Linked DNA regions of Oryctolagus cuniculus. The protein of the gene in region 2 purifies or fractionates together with the protein of the main gene of each other region. This does not show direct contact. Links are inferred from orthologs where the notes say so. Each region holds a gene or a part of one and is shown on either strand. Other genes may lie near its edges. The genes, in order: EIF3B and EIF4G3.

Evidence for each region.
Region 1: the proteins of EIF4G3 (region 2) and EIF3B purify together in Homo sapiens (affinity purification with mass spectrometry; 3 studies listed by BioGRID and IntAct, with this or other methods). This does not show direct contact. The link is inferred for Oryctolagus cuniculus from reciprocal best matches to the Homo sapiens genes EIF4G3 and EIF3B.

The regions. Positions count from the first base shown.
Region 1 is NC_091450.1:37,187,853-37,194,825, reverse strand, and holds part of EIF3B (eukaryotic translation initiation factor 3 subunit B), read right to left. Parts: intron 5,589-6,973; coding exon 5,516-5,588; intron 4,299-5,515; coding exon 4,176-4,298; intron 2,180-4,175; coding exon 2,101-2,179; intron 1,358-2,100; coding exon 1,219-1,357; intron 1-1,218.
Region 2 is NC_091438.1:149,924,729-149,931,701, reverse strand, and holds part of EIF4G3 (eukaryotic translation initiation factor 4 gamma 3), read right to left. Parts: intron 6,278-6,973; coding exon 6,131-6,277; intron 5,772-6,130; coding exon 5,535-5,771; intron 4,266-5,534; coding exon 4,161-4,265; intron 832-4,160; coding exon 699-831; intron 1-698. UniProt on the Homo sapiens protein: Component of the protein complex eIF4F, which is involved in the recognition of the mRNA cap, ATP-dependent unwinding of 5'-terminal secondary structure and recruitment of mRNA to the ribosome. Functional homolog of EIF4G1.

The DNA.
Region 1 (6,973 bases), on a different chromosome or scaffold from region 2:
AACACACTTGCCAACGATGCCCCAGGGCTCGCGTTCCATCAGTGAATGAAGCCGTGGCCCCAGCCTCTGCTGTCATTCCAGCCAGGCGAGGGGTGCCAGCAAAGACAAGACGGGGTGACTCACAGGGTGCTGGGCGCACGCGGCGACACCAGCGCCGCGCAAAGCATAGGCCTGTTACCCCTGGTCTGCCACGAGCAGCATGGGCCGGGACACAGAGCGCTCCATCACCAACCACACTGCTGAGTTCTGCTCACTTCTCTTTCTACAACGAAGCTTCCCAGAGGCAGTGCCTTGAAGCCCCTTTTGGCACAATCTCCTTATTGCAAACAAGCACTTTTGGGAAGCTAAGTGTTTGTATCTAAAACAGAGTGTGTCACTTTTTTTTTTTTTTTTTTGACAGGCAGAGTGGATAGAGAGAGAGACAGAGAGAAAGGTCTTCCTTTGCCGTTGGTTCACCCTCCAATGGCCGCCGCGCTGATCCGATGGCAGGAGCCAGGAGCCAGGTGCTTTTCCTGGTCTCCCATGGGGTGCAGGGCCCAAGCACCTGGGCCATCCTCCACTGCACTCCCTGGCCACAGCAGAGGGCTGGCCTGGAAGAGGGGCAACCGGGACAGAATCCGGCGCCCCGACCGGGACTAGAACCCGGTGTGCCGGCGCCGCTAGGCGGAGGATTAGCCTAGTGAGCCGCGGCGCCGGCCAAGTGTGTCACTTCTTAATAAAAGCATCCTGACAGTCTCACTGTGGTGACATCTAAACAAGGTGGCCAATGCAGGGTGCTCAGCTCACCACACACAGCCACCCCAATTCACCTAGGGCCCTGTCTATCGGCACCCAGTCCAACACCCCACTCCTCCATCAGCCACCATCACCTCCAGACATGAAGCTCAGAGCTCCAGCACAGTAGCACCGAGTGCGTGCAGACTCTGGCCAGCCGACATGCCCACCAGCACCGGACCTCCGGAGGCAGAGAAGTCAAACTCCCTAGGCGGGGACCTCCTGCTCCCCGACCACCCGACTCCTTGCAGGGGTCCCTGGCCCTAGGCGGACACAGCTCCTCCTGGCCGCCCGCCTCGTCTGCCACCCCGCCTCTTCCTGTATTCACGGCCGCCCACCTATTCTGTGCTACACACACAGAGGACAGCTTCAGTAAGCCAGGACTTGCTGATGAGACGGGGAGCTGAAGCCGGGCCTGGTAGCCGAGCCTGGCAGCGCCTGTACCTTGTGGCTCCACCAGGACACGGAGGTGACCACGTAGCGCCCGGTCGGATCCCACTCCACGTCGGAGGCCATGTAGTGCTCTGCAATGTTCATGACCGTGCAGTCTGAGGTGTCGACGAACGCTAAGGCACCGTTCATGCTGTGGAGGAACGTGACACAAGGGCACGATGGCGCGGTGACAGGCAGCGCCAGGGGGCAGCCACCGAAGCCCTGTGACCTCAGCTGCTCCCAGCATCACCAGACAAGACGGGCCGCACCTGCTGCCGCTCTGCGTCTTGTGGGGGCCAAGGCGCCTCCAGGCTGCAGGGGTGGATGGGCAGAGCTCCGCCTCCACAGCAGGGGTGGGGAACCCTTTCTCCAGGGGCCGTTTGGGAATTTCTAACATTCGTGGGCCATAGGAAAGCAGCAACTGAAAACTAGCCAGCTGAGGATTCACTCAATTTCGAGTGCTGCCCGCAGCTGCCTTGGCAGGGCCAGACGACCCTTCCCCGGACCCCCAACCCAGCCCCGGTGTACAGTGAGGTGGGGCAGGCAGCAGAGGGCATCCTCTCCACCATGTACAAGCCTCACTGGAACGACAGGAAACGGGAGAGGCGAAACTGTGCTCTTGAATGCTCATCGTGACAATGGCCAGAGGGAACAGTCAAACCGCTACCTGCGGTCTGTTTTTCCTGCGAGAGCACACGTGGGTGAGGATGCTGGGAAGGACACCACAGGTGCAGGTCTGCAGGCCACGGAGGATGACACCTGCGTGCCAGCACGGACCCTGCCTGCCCTCGGCCCGCACGCCGGAGCGTACAGACACTCCGCACTGTGAGGGGACACAAGGACACCCCCACCTTTCCCTGTGACCACACGGATGGGCTCAGCTGGGCCACCCACCTCCGCAGGCCGGCCAGCACCACAAACTGTCCTTGGGGGCTCCAGAAGATGGTGTTTGCCTGCTGCTTGTCAAACATCTCTGGAAAGAAAGCAAGCAAGCACCCGTATGTTAAAGTCTGCATCACGGTGCCCACTGCCCACGGCCCGCTATGGTGGATCTGGCACAAGGGGCTTTGGGTCAGGACTCCACCTACAGCCCATGCCTTTGCTGGCTCTCAAAGCAATTGGGGGGGAGGGGGCATTGTGGCACAGCGGGTTAACGTCCTGGCCTGAAGCGCCGGCATCCCATGTGGGCACCGGTTCTGGTCCCGGCTGCTCCTCTTCCAGTCCAGCTCTCTGATGTGGCCTGGGAAAGCAGTGGAAGATGGCCCAAGTGCTTGGGCCCCTGCACCCGCATGGGGGACCCAGAAGAAGCTCCTGGCTTGGGATCGGCACAGCTCCAGCCGTTGCAGCCATCTGGGAAGGAACCATCAGACCAAAGACCCCTCTCTCTGCCTTTACTCTCTCTACGTAACTCTTTCAAATAAATAAATCTTAAAAAAAAAAAAAAAAAAAGGCAGTTATGGAAAACCCATCTCAGTACACCTGAAGCTGTGCTCCACACTGGAAAAAAAAAAAAAAGAAAAAAGGGGCAGGGGTCCGTTGAAACTGACACCGCTTTTTCACTTCACGGAGTTACCCAGAGAGTTCATCCATTACAACAAACATCCGCTGTCACAGGGCCTCCACCTCGGGGCCGGGAACCCGGGCTCTTCCCTCCTGGCCTGTGGCACGTTCAAAGAATCATCGTGCAGCAGGGCAGCAAGAGGAGAGGAGACGTGCTTCGAAGGACACTGCCCCAACAGGGCGGCGTTCTCAGACCAGAACGGCCCGGGGGCCCGGGAGGCCGCGGCTCACGCGGCTGGATCCCGAGTTCAGGGCCCTGCGCACACTGGGGGAGTGAACCAGTAGATGGGAGAGGTCTCTGCCTTTCAAGTAACTTCACTTAAACTAGAACACGTTACAGAAGAACTCGTCAGGGGAAAAACAGGCAGAAGCCCTGGAATACACACAGGCACAGCGCCGAGTGCCACCGCGTGCCAGGGAGCACCCTGGGCAGGGCCCCCGGCACGCAGCGCAGGGGGAGGCCCCTCTGCTCGTAGCACAGAGCGCAGGTCTCCTCGTGGCCTCCAACCGCCTGACTTCTCACATGGCAGAGCAATGGAAGCGCATCCAACGTCACAGAACTGATTCTACCACTCAATGCTAAGCTCCGGCCACGTGAGAACTGAGTTCTGCAGACTTCTCTAGGGAAACGCTGCCTCTAGCACACACGAGTTCCTTCTGAGGACTGGGATGAACCCACGGTGCGGTTCCACGCGGCAGGGCAGCCAGACCCGGGGGAGGTGCTCGGTGTGCTGCACAGCCCGAGGCCACCACACACACACCACAGCGAGAATGAGACTTTCAGGAGGCAGCAAGCTACTGCCATGCGCGCCACAGCACCTCGGGAGCCCGAGACACAGCACCCCCAGGAGAGGCAGGGAGAGGGGTGCTGCACCACACACACCTCGGGAGCCCGAGACACAGCACCCCCAGGAGAGGCAGGGAGAGGGAGGGGTGCTGCACCACACACACCTCGGGAGCCCGAGACACAGCACCCCCAGGAGAGGCAGGGAGAGGGGCACTGCACCGCTGTGGGACCACAGCCACAGGGAGCTGGCTTCCAGCCCACTCACTGGATCAGGGAGCCCAGAGGCAGGGCAAAGGACCCCGCCTCAGACTAAGGGGCGGGCGGGTATCCAAGGAAGTGACCCCTAGCCCACAGCACCCGACTCACAACAAGGGAGAAGGTGGTCAACCTCAGCAACATGAATGTGAGCCGAGGGGCCCGCCGGGAGCTCACAGACGCCCACACCCCAGGAACACGAAGCACCCTTGTCTGCATCTGTGAGGCATCTAAGCCCACAGCGCACCCAGCTGTGTGTGAACGCAGGCCTGACCACAAGTGTGACTGGACAAGTGTGACCGCACCAGCCCGACGGCCCCCTGGGCCCTGAGCAAGCCCCCAGGCAGGCAGGGGCCCGGCCACTCACTGCTGAGCTCAATCTTCCCGTTGCTCTTGACGTGGTAGAAAGAGACGGAGATGCGCGGCGCCTCCCCGTGCAGCACGGCGAACTTGCTCCCGTTGGGCTCCCAGGCAAACGCGATGATGGTCTCTGCGGCAGCAAGACATGGCCACCCGGTCATCCAAACAACTCCCACGTGTGACCCGAGATGCCCCTCACTGTGCGACCAGAGCAACGCGAGGGCGGGCCCAGCCCCAGGTGTGAGCGATCCCTGCCGTGAAGCCACCCGCAGCACAGGAAACCCGCCTCCTCCTGAGTCACCCCGGGGGGCTGTGCGGAGCCCGTGTCCCGTGCGGCTGGGGACCCCACGCCCCGTGCCTATGCAGAACTGCTTGTGGGATTCAGAATCAGAAACCTGCAGCCGGCTAATCTGCACGCCGCCGACTCTGCACGGCCAGACAACCTAGATGCCTGGACCCTGCCACCCATGGAAAAAGCTCTCGGCTGCCGGCGCTGCAGCCATCTGGGGTGAACCAGTGGATGGAGGACCTTTCTCTTCCCCTAACTCCTTCAAATAAATAAATAATTAAAAATACACACAAAATCCCAATGGCAGGAAAAAGGCTGCCTACCCCGTCCTGACATCACATCCTATGCCCAACAGGCCACCCAGGGCGACCGTGCAAACAACAAAAAGGAAAAGGCCATGGGCTGGACTTCCTGCGGAGAGGCACGACAGGAAGTGAGGACACGAGTGATCACGCGAAGCGCAGCCCGCGTCTGGCACAGCGGCTGAGCATTGCTCATGGACTGCCTGTCGCGGTGCGTCTCGGGCAATGCTGTGTCTGACCCAGCTCCCTGCCTGACGAGCCTGTGCCCCATACGGGAGACCTACATGGAATTCCAGGCTACCGGCTTCAGGCAGGCCCAGCACCGGCTGACTGCAGCCACTTGGGAAGTGAACCAGAGGATGGAAGATCTCTCTCCTTCTCAAATAAGTAAATCTCAGAGAGAGCGGGAGGTATCAACACTGCGGACAGCAAGTAATGCACGCAGCAAACAACCGGAAACCAAACAGTATATCGTGTCCTTAGGAGAAAGCGAAGCAGCTTTATGAGCTGCGAGTCTGCGCCCCAGGCTGAGCGCCTGTGCAGTGAGCTCCCGGCGTGGGCAGCGACAGGGCCCCCACTCTGCTGCGAGGGACACCACAAAACCTGAACTTGTCTACACGTGTGTGCTTCGGAGACGGCCGCTCCCGCTCAGAGCCCAGTCTCGGCCACGTGCCCTGGGCGCTCTGCAGGTTCAGAAGTGGAGGGTCAGCAGGACACTGAGCCGACACAACCAGGAAGGACGGTAATGAAACTCACCTTTCATTTCGACCACATCCACAGGCACCTGTTTTTCCCTCATCCGAAAAATTTCAAAATTTGTGACAACACCCTGTTTAAAAAAACAAAAGTGACATCCAAAACTAGCATTTATTAATGCAATAAGAGATTAACTTTATACATGTGATGAACTCGCGAGGAGCTCAAGTGACTGAAATTAGTCTCAGGGAGGTGGGGACAAAGAGCCCTTGGCAGCTAAGCCACGTGCAGCTCTACCCAAGGGGGCCGTCCTACAGCCACACCCAGGCCCCTCTCCAGTACCCAAGGGGGCCGTCCTACAGCCACACCCAGGCCCCTCAGGCTGACTGCCGGAGGCCCGCAGTGGACTCCAGTGCCCTGGAGCCGCAGTGCTGGGACCACACACCGTCCTGGTGCCGTCTCTGTGACAGAACGCCAGGTGTGCACAATCCTCAGTGGTCAACGGCCACCCCAGAAGGATGGATGAAGCATGGTCTGCCTAGCAAGAGAGCACACTGCTCAGCGGTGGAAATGAACACAGCTCCTCCCACGCTGCACACAGATGCCCTGTGTGTGTGGCAGCTGTCGGACAAGGCCGCCAGCCCTGGTTTTATCGACAGGAGACGTCCCAAGTGGGGTCAGCCAGACAGAAAAAGCAGAGGCTGTCAGGAGCTAGGGGAGCTGTGGAGTGCGACAGCTGACAGGCATGCAGCACCCTCTGCGTGAGAACATTCTGGAAAATGTGGCTTTGGCCATACACCATTGTGAATATAACAAACAGCCACGGAGCTGGCTAACTCCATCAGGGGAAGTGCATGTTAAAAACAGAAAAAAAGAAAAGCAAATTCTAGGCTATTTTTTTTTTTTAATTTGACAGAGTTAGACAGAGACAGAGACAAAGGTCTTCCTTCCATTGGTTCATCCCTAAGTGGCCGCTACGGCTGGAGCTGTGCTGATCCAAAGCCAGGAGCCAGATGCTTCCCACTGGTCTCCCATGCGGGTGCAGGGCCCAAGCACTTGGGCCATCTTCCACTGCACTCCCTGGCCACAGAAGAGGGCTGGACTGGAAGAGGAACAGCCGGGACTAGAACCTGGTGCCCATATGGGATGCCAGCGCTGCAGGCAGAGGACTAACCAAGTGAGCCAGGGCGCCGGCCCCTTTAGGCTACATTTTGCTGTGCTAAATAGAAATGATGTGAAAAAGCCAACCTGGGTGCCGATCTGCATGAAGCGTGTCCACAGAAAACAGCAGACTCACTCTACTGCAACATGAGGGAGCTGGGTGCCCAGGAGAGGCGCCTGCTCCGCTGTGCGCGCTCAGCTACGAGGGGCGGCTGTGTGTCCAGCAGGGTCATCACGGTGGCTGGCGTGGGCACAGTGGGCTAAGCACACGCAGCCTGCGCCGCTGCATCCGTTATCGTTATCTGAGTCCCAGCCGCTTCACTTCTGACGCAGCCTCCTACAGATGCGCAGGAAGCA
Region 2 (6,973 bases):
ATTACTATCTTGGGGCCGCTGCTGCCTGCAGTGCTGGCACCTTATATGGGCCGGTTTGAGTCCCGCTGCCTTACTTCCAATCTAGCTCTTTGCTATGGCCTGGGAAAGCAAGTCTTTGGGCCCCTGCACCTGTGTGGGAAACCTGGAAGAAGTTCCTGGCTCCTGGTTTCAGATCAGTGCAGCTTTGCCCATTGTAGCCATTGGGGGAGTGAACCAGTGGATGGAGGACTCTCTCTCTGCCTCTGCTTCTCTGTAACTCTGCCTTTCAAATAATAAATAAATCTTTTAAAAATTACTATCTTTTCTTCAGGTTATTCTCTCTGCATTCCTTTCACATCTAAATATTGTCTTTATAAACTTTTATTTGAAAGGTAGTAAGACAGAGACAGGGAACGATATTCTAGTCACTTTGTCACTCCTCAAATGCCCACAACAGCTAGGGCTGGGCCAGGCCAAAGACAGGAAACCAGAACTCCATCTGGGATCACGTGGGTGGCAGATAACCCAGTACTTGGAGGCAGCATCCTACTGTATTCCCAGGATATAATTATCAGGAAGTGGATCAGGAGTGGAGCTGTGACTCAAACCAGGCCCTCCAATACCCCAGGTGGCATCTTCCACACTCTGCCCTCTAGAATACTCCAACACCTTTCCCTCGAGCTCCCTGTCCTCTAAAGCGCAGTGGACTCCTCACTCACCTGGTCTTCTCTTCTCCTTGGTCATGAGCTGCTGCACCTTCCTCTGTTCCTCTTGTTCTTCTATTTTAGCTTCTTTGTGAATCTGCTCAATAGTTTTAGGCCCTTGATCTGCTCTTCGAGACACCCAATTACACTAGAAAAGTGAAAAATCAGGTTATCAGCCAGATGCTGAAAATAAAAATAAAATTAAATTATAAGTTTTTAATTTTCACTGCTAGAAAAGTATAAACTACCTACAAAATCTGAGATTATGGCAGTTTTCCATCTGTCATGTGGATGGCACTGTGTACAGTATGGTAATTAGAGTTAAGAATTAAATTCTTCTCAATCAACCCTGACCAACTTAACTGTACAATGCACATTCCAACAGCAAATGGACAGACTGGCCCAAATGTATTTTATCATTATTCTGCACATTTGAAAGGAGGAGAGGGAAGAGGAGTCAAGAAGGACAAGGGTTCCTTGGCATTGCCTTAATCTAGGGGTTCTATTAGTTCATATCACACTCCATAGGGAGTCTAATTAGAAGATGACTAGCATTCTTCTTCCTCCAATATCAGGGTTCTGGATCCTGCACAAAGTGTCACACCATTGTGCCCTTTGGTTATCCCCTCTACTAAGGCCAAAAGTTGCCTCTTCATACTTTCCTGTTCCATTTCCTAATGTTCTAACATCTGATACAAGTAAAAGGAGCTGAAGGCATGGGTGGGGAAGTATTTTCTACTTATTAGACAGAGGCAAGGATGGCAAACAGATTTAAACCAGTATGCAGGCCGGTGCCACAGCTCAACAGGCTAATCCTCCGCCTAGTGGCGCCGGCACACCGGGTTCTAGTCCCGGTCGGGGCACCGGATTCTGTCCTGGTTGCCCCTCTTCCAGGCCAGCTCTCTGCTGTGGCCAGGGAGTGCAGTGGAGGATGGCCCAGGTGCTTGGGCCCTGCACCCCATGGGAGACCAGGAGAAGCACCTGGCTCCTGCCTTCGGATCAGCGCGGTGTGCCGGCTGCGGTGGTCATTGGAGGGTGAACCAACGGCAAAGGAAGACCTTTCTCTCTCTCTCTCTCTCTGACTGTTCACTCTGTCAAAAAAAAAAAAAAAAAAAAACCACACCAGTATGCAAGTGGCTTTGGTAATAGGAGAGATCCCAACGCCATGCCGGGGCTTTAGCAAAACAGAGAACCATCACCAGTGCTGGATTCAGACAGGAAAGAGGTGTGCCCCGCATTTACTTTCTCTCCTTGGGCTGGCTGCACTATATTCCCTACAGGAGTTAACTAAGAGAAGAAATCAGGCTACAGTGATAAACACTGTATGTGGTATAAGAAGAGAAAAACATTATTATAGAATAAGAGGGTTTATAGGAAAAACAATAGAGCAGAAAACATCAACATGTGGGCACTTTCCATAATGATCTCGCTGAATCTTTACAACAAATCTGCAAGGCAGACAACATCCCCATTTTACAGATTAAAAGTGTAAGGCTCAGCAAAGTCAAACATTCATTGTGAAGATCAGACTGATCATTTAGCTCACGAAAACTAAATTTAATTGACCACAGTCTGAATTCAGAACTGCTTATTTCAAAACTGCAATGTAGTCTGATAATCAAAGTAAGGAGTAGAAACACGCAACAATTAAGAGGTTCCTAACTCTCTCAGGAATACACCAGTTCAAGATCAGAGAGTATTGAAGCAAAATCATTAATTTTATTTATTTGTTTATTTATTTTAAAGACACATTTTATGTATTTCAAAGGCAGAGTGGCAAAGAATCTTCCATCCATTGGTTCACTCCCCAAATGATCACAAATGGGACTGGGCCAGGCTGAATCCCTGAGCCCAGAACTCCATCTGGGATTCCCACATGGGAGGCAGTCCCAAGTTCTTTGGTCATCCTCTGCTGCTTTCCCAGGTGCATTAGCAGGGAGCTGGACGGGAAGCAAAGCAGCCAGGACTCAAACCAGTGCTCTGACACAGGATGCTGGTGTTGCAGGTGGCAACCTAGTCTACTGCACTGCAACACCAGTCAGAAGCATTTTTTTTTTTTTTAAGATTTATTTATTTGAAAGGCAGAGACACAGAGGGAGATATCTTCTATCTGTTAGCCCACTCTCCAAGTAGCTGCCAACAACCTGGGCTGAGCCAGCCTGAAGTTAGGAGCCAGGAGCTTCCTCTGGGTTTCAGAGAGAGAGGGAAAGACACACTGAGAGAGGTTTTCCATCTGCTGGTTTACTTCCCAAACGGCCACTATGGCTTGCACTAGGCCAGGCTGAAGCCAGGAAACAGGAGCTTCATCTGGGTCTCCCATGTGGGTGGCAGGGACCCAAGAACTTAGGTCATCCTCCACTGTGGGGAGCAACTCGGACTAGACTATTACTGGAATTAAGACTTATTCTATGCATCTGTTCTCCCACAATATGGCGCTGAGAAGGGAGTAACAACTTCTACGCAGCTGCCTCTCGCCAACTTGAGTGATGACCTGCAGGAGCTGATCCTGCTCCTGATTGGAGGAGAGCAGCGTACTCGGCATGTGGGTAGCAGAGTTGGGATTGGTGGAAGAGGACTATAAAGGAGGAGAGAGACAACATGCACCAGGAACACCTGAGGAACATCTGAGCAGCCCCTGAGAGAGCCGGCCGGCGGTGTGCCGCTCCCCCGCGGAAGTGGGGAAAGTGGCAGGGGGGACCGCCCTTCCACGGAGGTGGAAGGGTCAGTAGCCAACCCGGGAAGAACCAGCAGCAAACCCGGGGAGGGCCGAGCAGACAAAAGAACAGCGCAGGGTCCTGTGTCGTTCCTCCATGAAGAGGGGGAGCGACATAATGGTGCCGTGACTCGGATATGAAGCCTAGGCAGGGTTTAGTGTCGTTCCTCCACGAAGAGGGGGAGCGACACTCCACTGCTTTCTGAAGTGCATTAGCAGGGAGCAGGTTCGGAAGTGGAGCAGCCAGGACTCGAAACAGGTGCCCTTATGGGATGCCGGTGCTGTAAACTGTGCTTTTAACCTGCTACACCACAGCACCAGCCCCAACCATAAGTTTTTTTTTTGAAAATATTTTATTTATTTATTGAAGAGGCAGATTTATAGATAGTGAGAGGGAGAGACAGAAAGAAAGGTCTTCCAGCCATTGGTTCACTCCCCAAAATGACCACAATGGCTTATCTGAAGCCAGGAGCCAGAATCTTCTTTCAGGTCTCCAACATGAGTGCAGGGGCCCAAGCACTTGGGCCATCTTCCAGTGCTTTCCCAGGCCACAGCAGAGAGATGGATCGGAAGAGGAGCAGCCAGGACTAGAACTGGCGCCCATATGGGATGCCGGCACCACAGGCAGTGGTTTTACCCTCTACACCACAGCACTGGCACCAGCATTAAGTTTTTATACATGTTAACGTTAGGACATCCTTCTCCTATTCAATTTATTAAAATAATTTAGACTAGTAGTATATTTCCTTTTCTTTCCTACTTACCAGCCTTAGGTCTATCACATCTTGAAGCATGAATCGAATTCTAGATGAGGTTTTTCTTTCTTTCACAATTTTTTCCATCTGATTAAAGTACTGGTCCATACGTGGCTACAAGAAACAAGATCATTAGTATTTCTGGCTAAAGAATTCAAATGTAATTTCATGATATAGATTTTTTTTCATTATAGAGAGCTTTTAAATGTTTAAGGAATAATATGACAGGATTTTTAATTGCCCATATGATTGCCCAAAGAAAAGATTACACTTTTCAGACTTTTGAGCAGGTGGCTTTTTTATGCTATTAATTATAGATCAGAATATAATGGAAATGCTATTTTGCAGCTCCCTGGAACCTTCCTTATGAGAGAGGTAGCTGTGTCCTTTGTCCCCCTTTTTTCCTACTTTTCCTGCTGAGAATTCTAAGGACTTAATGTTCTACCTTAGGAATGTGAAACAGTAAGCTACAAGGACTTATCTATGAACTTTGCTTATATAAGTGAAAAACTTCAATAATGTAGAAACTACAGGTACTTGGGATTTTCTGTCATAGCTAAACATAATTCTAGCTGACTCAAATGTTATGGAACAGTTCTGACATTATTTCTTTGAAGCACTTCTCATTTCCACAAACCTTACTTGGACAGTACTATGTTATGTTTGAATTATAGTATTTTTGGTGAATTCTTATATTATGGTTAGCTAGATGGGCCATTAATCAGAGCATAAACTTGAAGAAAACCAGGGGCCAGCATTGTGGCATAGCTGGATAAGCTGTAGCTGGCAGTGCTAGCATCCTATAAGGTTCAAGTCCTGGCTGCTCCACTTCTGATACAGCTCCCTGATAATGCAACTGGGAAAGAAGCAGAGAATGGCCCAAGGGCTTGGGTCCCTGCACCCACGTGGGAGACCTGGAAGATGCTGCTGGCTCTTGGCTTCAGCCTGGCTCAGACATGGCCATTGCAGCCATTTGGGGAGTGAACCAGCAGATGGAAGACCAATCTCTATCTAAAATAATATAAATCTTCAAAAAAAAGTGAACTACTGGGTTTTCCACATTTCTGTACCACCCTAGAGCCTGACACATAGTAGCTTTTCTTTTTTTTATTTCAGCTTAAAACTTGCTGTACAAATAAATGACCTATGAAATAGTTACGGAGGAAGAAAAGAGACAAGTGACAAATAATGTGAACAATCTACAAATTGTCTTCTGTATAATTTGGAACCTGCTCCTCTATGACTCTAATGCAAATGTGGCAGGGAACATGCTGGCCAAAAACTGATGATTAGATAGACAAAGGGAAATTAACAGCCTCAGCTGTGGGGGTGAGAGAGTATTTTGCAACCCAGAGCCTCTGTGGAAAGTTTCTGAATTTTTACCTTTGCTTTCTCAAAGTCCAAGTCTTTGCCAATGGTGGTGAGCAGGCGACACAGACACTCCAGGGATTCCTCATCGTGGTTCTTTAGCAGTTTCACCACACAGTCGTGCATGATGGCTTCAGTCAGCATTTTGAGTTTAAAGAGTTCTCCAATAAACTTGATGTTACCAATGGATCTCCGTCGGGCTTTGTCCTTGGCTTCTTCCAGTTCATCATGAAGCCTTGTCCTCTCCTCTGGCTGTCGTGTGAGAAGGAGTAAGAGCATCTTAATGAAAAGTTGTATGCCTCACGATCCTTACTCGTTCTGAGCGTCAGATGCCCTGTGAGGATCTGACAGCGACTGGGGACTTACTTTTCAAAACACGAACTACACCCACAAAGACCTCCTGCATTTCAGATCTCCAGAACCCAACGCCCTCTCTCAAGTCTAGGTTTAGACTGAACGCTGCTGCGGAGAGCTGAGCTGCTCTGACATTCAGCACTAAGAGGAATAAAACAGAACCCCTTTAAGGAAGCGGGGAGATGCTGTACCCGGCCTCACGTGTCCTTGGAAGCACTCAACACGCGTGAACACTGTCTTTCTGATGATACACTTACAGCACTGGCAGCTTCAAGTTCTTTCTGCTTCTTCTCAAAGACATCATCATCTGCTTTATCTTTTTCAAATTCCTTCTGGCAACGGTTCAGCAATAATTTCCGAAAATTCACTGTGTTACCAGGCTTGTCTGCCATCGGTACTTTGAGCTGCACGCAGATAGGAAAACGTAAAAGCAGCAAGATTAAAGACATTCAAAATGTCTATTTTCATTATTGTGCAAAATAATGCTACTGAAAAACAGGTAGGTTTTCTACAAGGGATACACAATTCAGCTTCAGGCATTTCATGATTCAACAATAAGATGTCTTGAATATTCTAAAGAACAGATACATATTATTCTCATACATCTTTTATAGCCATGCCTTTAGCTGAATCGGAAATTCACATCATATCATTACACCTGTGACCTCTTTTTACCTAACTAGACTTTTTTGATTTACCTCTGTTGGGTTATTACTTTTTTATTTGTAAACTATCATTAAGTATTTTGATTTAATGGAACAAACAGAAATGACTTAAGGCAGGGGAATATTGATTTAGAACTATTATAGTAGGTAAGAGCCTAACTCCAGAAAATGGTAGAAGCGTGGGGCCAATACTGCAGTGTAGCAATTAAAGCTGCCACTTGTGGCACCAGTATCACATATGGGCACTGGTTGCAGTCCCAGCTGCTCCACTTCTGATCCAGCTCCCTGCTAATGCGCCTGGGAAAGCAGCGGAAGATGGTCCAAGTATTTGGGCCTCTGCACCCATATGGGAGACCCAGAAGAAGCTCCTAGCTTCAAATTAGCCCAGCTCCAGCCATTGTGGCAATTTGGGGAGTGAACCAGCAGCTAGAAAAT